Drosophila melanogaster: one gene and its partner. The protein of the gene in region 2 interacts with the protein of the main gene of each other region in a pairwise test. Each region holds a gene or a part of one and is shown on either strand. Other genes may lie near its edges.

The links.
Region 1: the proteins of CG2681 (region 2) and muskelin interact in a two-hybrid assay, tested with the Drosophila melanogaster proteins (one large-scale study listed by BioGRID).

What each region holds. Positions count from the first base shown.
Region 1 is NT_033778.4:12,630,680-12,634,605, reverse strand, and holds the start of muskelin (muskelin), read left to right. Parts: upstream 1-2,324; 5' UTR 2,325-2,449; coding exon 2,450-2,643; intron 2,644-2,725; coding exon 2,726-2,938; intron 2,939-3,000; coding exon 3,001-3,343; intron 3,344-3,425; coding exon 3,426-3,564; intron 3,565-3,620; coding exon 3,621-3,926. Other genes in the region: Mvk (mevalonate kinase), read left to right, coding at 1-352; spt4, read right to left, coding at 452-570, 637-799, 861-929; CG33792 (uncharacterized protein), read right to left, coding at 1,152-1,601, 1,652-1,810, 1,864-1,932.
Region 2 is NC_004354.4:2,706,497-2,710,422, reverse strand, and holds the start of CG2681 (uncharacterized protein), read right to left. Parts: upstream 1,740-3,926; 5' UTR 1,460-1,739; coding exon 737-1,459; intron 104-736; coding exon 1-103. Other genes in the region: CG2680 (uncharacterized protein), read left to right, coding at 3,081-3,470, 3,567-3,926.

The DNA of each region.
Region 1 (3,926 bases), on a different chromosome or scaffold from region 2:
GCTTGTTGCCGCCGCCGTTCCACTCTACGAAAGCTTTGGCAACGCCCAAGACGATAGCTCGAAATTCGAGCAACTTGAACGCCTGTTCCAGATCAACAATGATCTGTTGAAGGCTATCGGAGTGTCGCACCCGAAACTGGAGCAAATCTTCACCATCGCTTTTAAGCGTGGCTTCTTTTCAAAGCTGACGGGCGCCGGCGCAGGTGGCTATGTCATCGTTCTGCTTCCAGAGAACTACGAGTGCAACGAGGTCTACTGGAAGCTTAAAGAGGAGCTCGAATCGGCGGGTTTTGGTGTTCATGTTACGACTGCCGGCGGCGAGGGATTGCGCGTTAGTTCGCTGGATGACTGATGCGGTTTCGTTTTGTATTGCTATTGTATGTATTCGTGGTTTTGTTATAAATTAAAGAATAAAGATTTATACATGTATTTTGTACGGCAATCTGTTTGTTTATCGTTGACTTCTGTCCCGAGATTTGTAGACAATTCCACGATTCTTCATGTCACGTAAGGTAGACTGCGGCAGTGTTCCGGATACAGAAATGGCATAGATACCACGAGTAAAGCGGGCTAAAGGAAAATGATTTCAAATATATCAGTAATACCCTTTTGGAACGGAAGTCATTCAGGCCTTACACAATCTTTGCCACTTGGCCACCCAGGAGTCGGTGGGCGTAGTTAGGGCAATAATTCCGTCAAAGTTGTTGCTAGTGTGATCATAGACATTGTCCTTGTTGTTTTTCATTCGCAGGAACTCCTCGCAGTTTTCACAGCCATCAGTCTCAAATTGATCAAAACTCTGCGGGCGATAAATGATTTCAATGAAAATGTGTGTCGAGTCTGGGCAAAATATAACCCACCTTCACTAGGGAGCAAACGAGGCAGGCGCGAAGTCCTCGCAGATCCTTGGGTATCGCGTCAAAGGCCATATTTACTTATCAATTATGGGTTTAAAACTAAAAATACAAAATCCGTGCAAAACCAAGCCACGACACTGACAGAGTGACCGTACTCTAAAATTTTCTTGAATCTACGATATCGATGGGCGCCGGTTACACCCGACAAAAATTGTCAAAAGAATTTTCACGAAGCTAACCTTTGTATTAAAACGTGTTTTAAAAGTGTATATTTCCTTAGCAGCTATATGAATTTTAAACAAAGTTCAACGGCTTGGGCAGTGGCTTATTCTTTTTTTGCTTGTAATAATCCTCTAGAATTTCAAAATAGATCAAAACCAGTCCCAAGTGAATTCCTGGATTGGCTCCTGAAAAGTTAAATGCAATTTTGTAATCCTGAATTGGAAGTATGGGCAGAGAGACCTCGTCCAAACGAAAGTTACGCGCAATCAAATGACCCTTTAGAAACATATATATATATTCAATATATTGAGAAAATTTAACTATATTATATATACATAAGCTTACCCTATATGGGCAACTGTGGTTTACATTAGTCCACTCCGTCAAATGGCTAATAGCGTATTTTTGCAGAAAATTACTTTGCGTTTTATTCTTTAACAATTGGCAAACATCAAATTTAAATTTAACGGCGAAGGGCTTGTACAAATTCGAAGAATCCTTGTAGAACACTTCTACTGACATCTGAAAATTTCCATTATTATTGTAATACTTAAATTAATGAAACTTCTCACCTTAATATCAGTTAATGCCTCCTTTATGTCACCATCCATGTTCAATACCGATCGAGTCCAGTTTACAGGCTTCAGAATGCAAGAGACATTGCTGAAATATGCTCCGTTTGCTATGCACTCAGTTTTTCTGATTTTGAAAAAGTATCCATTGGAATAGAACTAAAAACTAAAATATTTTTGAAATCTGTATTTATACGGGCTTATTTACGCACAATGGTATTTGGAAGGCATAATAAAACGCCCAAGTACACACAAGAGACAGCAAGCCACTTTGCCATCATTGAAACAAATAAACATAACTTCAACCGAACAACTTAAAGCATACGCTAACTACATTTTAATAACTTTGTACACTTGATAAAAAGGTATCACGGTTGAATGAACAAACAGCTTTCAAATAAATAATCGATACGCCACGATACACTTATCTACACTTTAGCCAAAAAATCGGCTTAACGTAAATTAATTTTTGTTAAAAATGCACTATCGCTCGGAAGTAAAAAAGCGTAAAATGAAAAGGTCGATTGCTTGTTTTGATTTTACAGCCTAATTCTATTGGTTATTTACACAATGCTAATTGTTGTTAAATGCTAACCGTTTGCCAATGTAATGTAAGACAATCGGTTAATCGACCCCCTGATGAGATAACGGCTACGCCCCTGGCGATCAGCTGTTACGCGGTTGTTTTGGGTGTGGAACAGGGAAGCACAAAAGTACGGACAAGAAAGAACGGTAATAACAGCTACAGCCGAGCTCCGTTAATCTTTTACCGCTAGGATCGTTGGAATAGAACTCGCCATGTCCTCCTCCTCGACATCCAGTCCCACGGACAACAGCTCGCACGGATCGGTGGCGCTGTCCTCGGCCCTTAATCCATCTTTAAACCCGGTCTCCGGCACGAATACCAGCAGCCAAAAGCCTTTTTCGCTTTCCGAGCGCCTGAACTTTGAGATCTACCGTTACTCCAGCTACTCGCCAAACTATCTGCCTGAGTAAGTACTAATCTGGAAAAGAAAATGGATGCCTCGCATATCGTAATTGTTAAACGGGCATCTTTTTAATTTCCATTCGTAGAAACGTCCTGGTGGACTGTCCCAACGACCAAACATCTAGGTGGTCCGCCTACACGAACAGCCCGCCGCAATTTCTCACCTTGAAGCTGCGCCGTCCCGCCATTGTGAAGAAAATCAAGTTTGGCAAGTTCGAGAAATCGCATGTGTGCAACATCAAGAAATTCCGTGTTTACGGCGGCTTGGACGATGAGCACATGGTTTTGCTGCTGGAGGGGTAGGTCATTCAGCTGGTTTTCTGAAATGCATTATTTAATATAACTCAAATATTTTTCCCAGTGGCCTAAAAAACGATAACGTGCCAGAAGTATTCAACCTGCGCTGCCTGACCGAAGACGGTTCGGAAAATCTACCAATACTGTACCTCAAGATCGTGCCCCTGCTCTCCTGGGGTCCGTCGTTCAACTTCAGCATTTGGTACGTGGAGCTGCACGGCCAGGACGACCCCATGTACACCAGTGCTCGCATGAAGAACTACAACTCGCTGCGCGAGGTGGAGATCATCAAGCTGTGTCTGAAGCACTTCCGCCAGCAGGGCTATTTGAGTGCCTTTGGGGCGCTCCAGGAGCAAACGAATGTGCAACTGGAGCACCCGCTGATCAGCGAACTGCATAAGTGTCTGGTAAGAAAGGAATCCCCAGCATAGATCATGCTATAAACCTTTGAAGTTTGGTATTAAATTCATAAAAAAAACTGGTTCTTAGGTTTTGCAGGGCGACTTTGAGAAGGCTGAACGCTTTATAGTCGAGTGCATAGACGAGGGCCTAATGGATGAGTATTTACATAAGCAGGACTACAAGCACAGCTGGCATATGAAGCATACCGAAAGCGACATAAAGCCTGGTAACTATTTTTGCCTCCAAATAGCAATCATTAGCAGTTAACTTCCTCTATTTCAGGCAATCGCGGTGGTCACCAGCTGGTGGTGGATGCCAAAAGGAGACTTATTTATCTCTACGGCGGCTGGGATGGCTACCAGGACTTGAGCGACCTTTGGGTATTCAATATCGAAGATGATCAGTGGACGCTACTGTGCGAAAGGTCAGAGCTTTCCAATGGACCCACACCGCGATCCTGTCACAAAATGGTCTTTGATCCCATCAGCGAAAATGTATTCATGCTTGGTCGTTACCTGGATAACTCGATACGAACTTCGGATTATATAAAGAGCGACTTTTACCTTTACGATACGAGGGCTGGCAACT
Region 2 (3,926 bases):
CCGGCATCCGCACCTGGCAGCCGCCGGAGGCGTGTCCGCACCGGAAGTGCGCCTTGGCGCACAGCGCCTCCACGGTCAGCGATCGGGAGTTGGTGAAGGGTTCCTGAAACATAAAGTTATTTGCATTGACATCGGGATTGGCATACAATTTAGTGTGCAAGTTCGAATGTGATGTGTGTTACCCATATCATATGCCCCATTTCCTAGTATTGATGGAAAGAACTTGATGATGAAGAAACTATACACTTTATCATACTTATCATAGTGATAGTATGACACGGGCTTTTCGATGTACTTATTTTGTCCATTGGTTAGCGAGCATACAAGTTTATCTATGGAAAAGTCCGAGCAAACGTTAATATCGACTTCCTTCTTGCAGATTTCAGATTCGGTTGGATATTTAGAAGATGGCACTAATAAATATGCCCTAGAAGAGTGAACTGGTGGCACCACACATTTCCTAGTGCAAGACAAGGCTTATTTTTTATAGTCACACTTGTAGTGCAGATAGTGGGGCTGCACTTGAAAATTGATTAGACACCCTCGGCTGGGTAATAAACTAATCTCCACCGGAGATCATTCTGTCCTGCGCCTGTCGATGATGGCAATCTGCGAGTAGCTTTTCCTTAGTCTATACCAATGTATATTTGCACGTCACTAGATAAGGAGCGCACATTGGGGCAATATGATATTGATAACCGAACAACACTTTTGGCGAGCTGACGTCAATTTTTACCTTGCAGAGCGGGCACATGAGCAAAATGCGGGTGCACTGTTCACAGACACTGTGGCCACTCTTGCACAGAAGGATGGGCGCCTTCATGGCGCCGGCACAGCCGGGACACCTCAGCTCCTCGATCAGTCCCTCGTAGTGGCGGGCGGAGACGGTCGGCGGGCCTTCCTCGCTGGGCGTGGCAGGGCTCTTTTCCGGCTTGCTGGGCGTGATGACGCCTTCGGGAAAGCTCTGACGGATTATGGAGCTGTCCGGCGAGAGAGCTCCATTGCTCGCTGGACCCTTGCCATCGGCGGGACCTGTACTGCGGGTGCGGCCCAGCATTGGCGGCTTAGGGGGCGGCGAAAGTGGGGATCGCAGGGTCACCACATTCGGACTTGGCAGCGTGGCGTATTTCACGTTCAGGGTGAGCGTGTTGGGGGGCACTGGTTTGGCTGGCTCCACCTTTTCGGGTTCCTTCTGCTGCTCCTGGGCTGGGACCTCATCAGGCGTTTTCTTCGCCACCTCCTCCGGGGGCATCTTCGTAGACTGCGGCTCGTCTATGGCCTTCAGATTCTTCTCCAGGTCCTCCTCCCGAACCGTCGATCCGTTTGTGGCCTCCGGCACCTCCTCATTGATCGTGCTGTTGAGAAATATGCGGCGCTGCTCGTTGATCTGTTCGATGCTCTTCAGCTGAGCCAGAATTTTTAGATCCTCCTCCTTTCCACCATTGGCCAGGGTAGACATTTTCGGCAATTTTCCTTAGTTTTTGACTAGTTGTCGTCTGGTTGTATAACCGCCGGGAACAGTTGCTCCAAGCTCAGGTGGCCGAATGTGCTTTTCTTCTGGCGGAATTCTTCGCAAGCGTTCGCAACTCGTACTTTCGTATCTTATCAGGGAGACGCCTAACTAAACTAGCTGGCCCGGCAATCGATTTGGACTTGTGATGCGATATACCAAAAAGCCGCAGCCAAAACCAACCAAACCAAACCAAACCAAACCAAAAACGCAGCCGAACCCCAAGCGACGCGACTCACACGCGCTCGCACATCAAGTACCCGCCCCGTTGGCCAGTTCTTTTGCCTTCACCGCCGCGGACGCGGACATGGACACGAGCGTCTTCCGGACCCCGCCAATTGAAATGTTGCATTTGAATTTGAATTATTGGCCATTTGTGGTTTCCTCCGTTCCGGCGGCTTTTCCATTTCCCCCTCTCCGCTTCCGTTGGCCAAATGCCGCAGCCATCAATGTCAAGGTGTTGACATGTGTGGCCAGGGTCTACGGCCCAGCACAGTGGGACCTCCGTAGGGCGACAGGCATTCTGTTGTCTACGCTGCTGAACTTTCGCAATTGTCATCATACTTATTAGTTTCTCCATGCGTCAACTGTACCTTTGCTTTTCGAACTGAGGAAAGCGTGCTCATACATGTTTCCTCGAGTGTTCACTGTACACGTTTGTGCCTGCCTGTTATAAGCTTGAGCGAACAACAGCAGCAACAAAAGGCCGATGCACCACCGATCAATACTTACATACATACATATGTATGTATGTCAATCGCCTTCAATCACGTGTATCGCAGAGGATTTGTAAGAAATGCAATTGAAAGGAAGAAAAGGAAGCATGTGAATCGCAAAATACATATAATATTTATAGCATGCCAAAAGCCTTTGAAATTTAATTAAATTTTTCTTTACAGCCATTTTGGGTTTGTGGTTTCGCTTTGATTGCATAGAATTGAATTCAATAATAAGGCTGTCAATTATTTCGAGACCAATATATTTCAGTCACATTTGGCAGTGGAACTAGTTCGATAATCTATATGGTTCTAAATTATATCCGGTAAATTCAAATGACAGTCAAAAGCATGAATAACCAAAATTTGACGAATGCAGCAGACTCATTTTATAAGTTGTTCCTTAAGATAAACTTGGTATAATCACGCGTACGCTTGATTGTAAATCCGAACTAGGAAGCAAATGAGATACATATGTATGTATGTATTTTCCGGACTGCTATCCGCTCTGTCCGGCAGATGGGAATGTGAAATAGACAACAAATCGCACGAGTCTTTCATGCCGCGTTCCACACAGAAGATCTTATATTTACATACGGAATCTTATCGGACGAGCCACTCCGCTCGGGTTCGCTAAATCGTGTAATAAAAGATACTTAGCACATATGTACGTAGGCATAGGGTTGTATGGGCGAGGGGTGGTTGGGTTCGGGTTCGAGGAACCGGGGGAACAATGTCAATGCGTTGACATTGAAGGTTAAATGCCGGCAAAGGCGGTTAGTCGGCTGTGGAATTTCCGTGCGCGCGCAACCAGCATCCAATTCGTTCCTGTAAGCCAAAAAACCAACATTACCATGTCGCCACCACGACACATTTTGAAGCTCAGCCTCGAGGAGCAGCGGCAGTTCATCGATTCCTTCGATTTGGTGATCAGCGACTGCGATGGCGTCGTCTGGCTCCTGGTGGGCTGGATTCCCAACACGGGAGCCGCCGTCAATGCCTTGAAAGCGGCCGGCAAGCAGATCAAGTTCGTGTCGAACAACAGCTTCCGGTCCGAGGAGGATTACATGGAGAAGTTTCGCCACATCGGCGCCAAGAACGTCCAGGAGGACGACATCGTTCATCCGGTGAAGACCATTGTCCGGTACCTGAAGAAGCACAAGCCGGGGGAGCGGGTATACTCCCTCATGTCCCTCGAAGCGAACGAAACGTTACGTAAGCACAACATCGAGTTTGAATCGCTGGTAAGGGGAAGGTTATTACTTATAAATATATATATACAATATATTTAGTTCAAGAGCTTCCGTGTGACTATTAAATTTCATATCATTCTCCTTCAGCAAGTCAAGGAGCACCTGACGGCCGCGTCGCTGGTGGATCACCTGGCCATTGAAAAGCCCGTGGGCGCTGTGCTATTCGACATCCACTTGGACCTCTCGTACGTGGAGCTGGCGAAGGCCATTAGGCACCTTCAGGAGAATGACGACTGCCAGTTGATAGCCGGCGGCAGCGATGTCATCATGCCACTGGCGGAGAATCTCAATGTGGCCGGGTTCTTTGACTTCCTGGAGCACGTTAAACGCTACACGCAACGCGAGGCCACGTTTCTGGGCAAGCCGTCTCCCATTTTGGGCGAAATGTTTGGCGAAATGTTCGAGATTCGTGATTGCAAGCGCTGCATCTTCATCGGGGACACACTG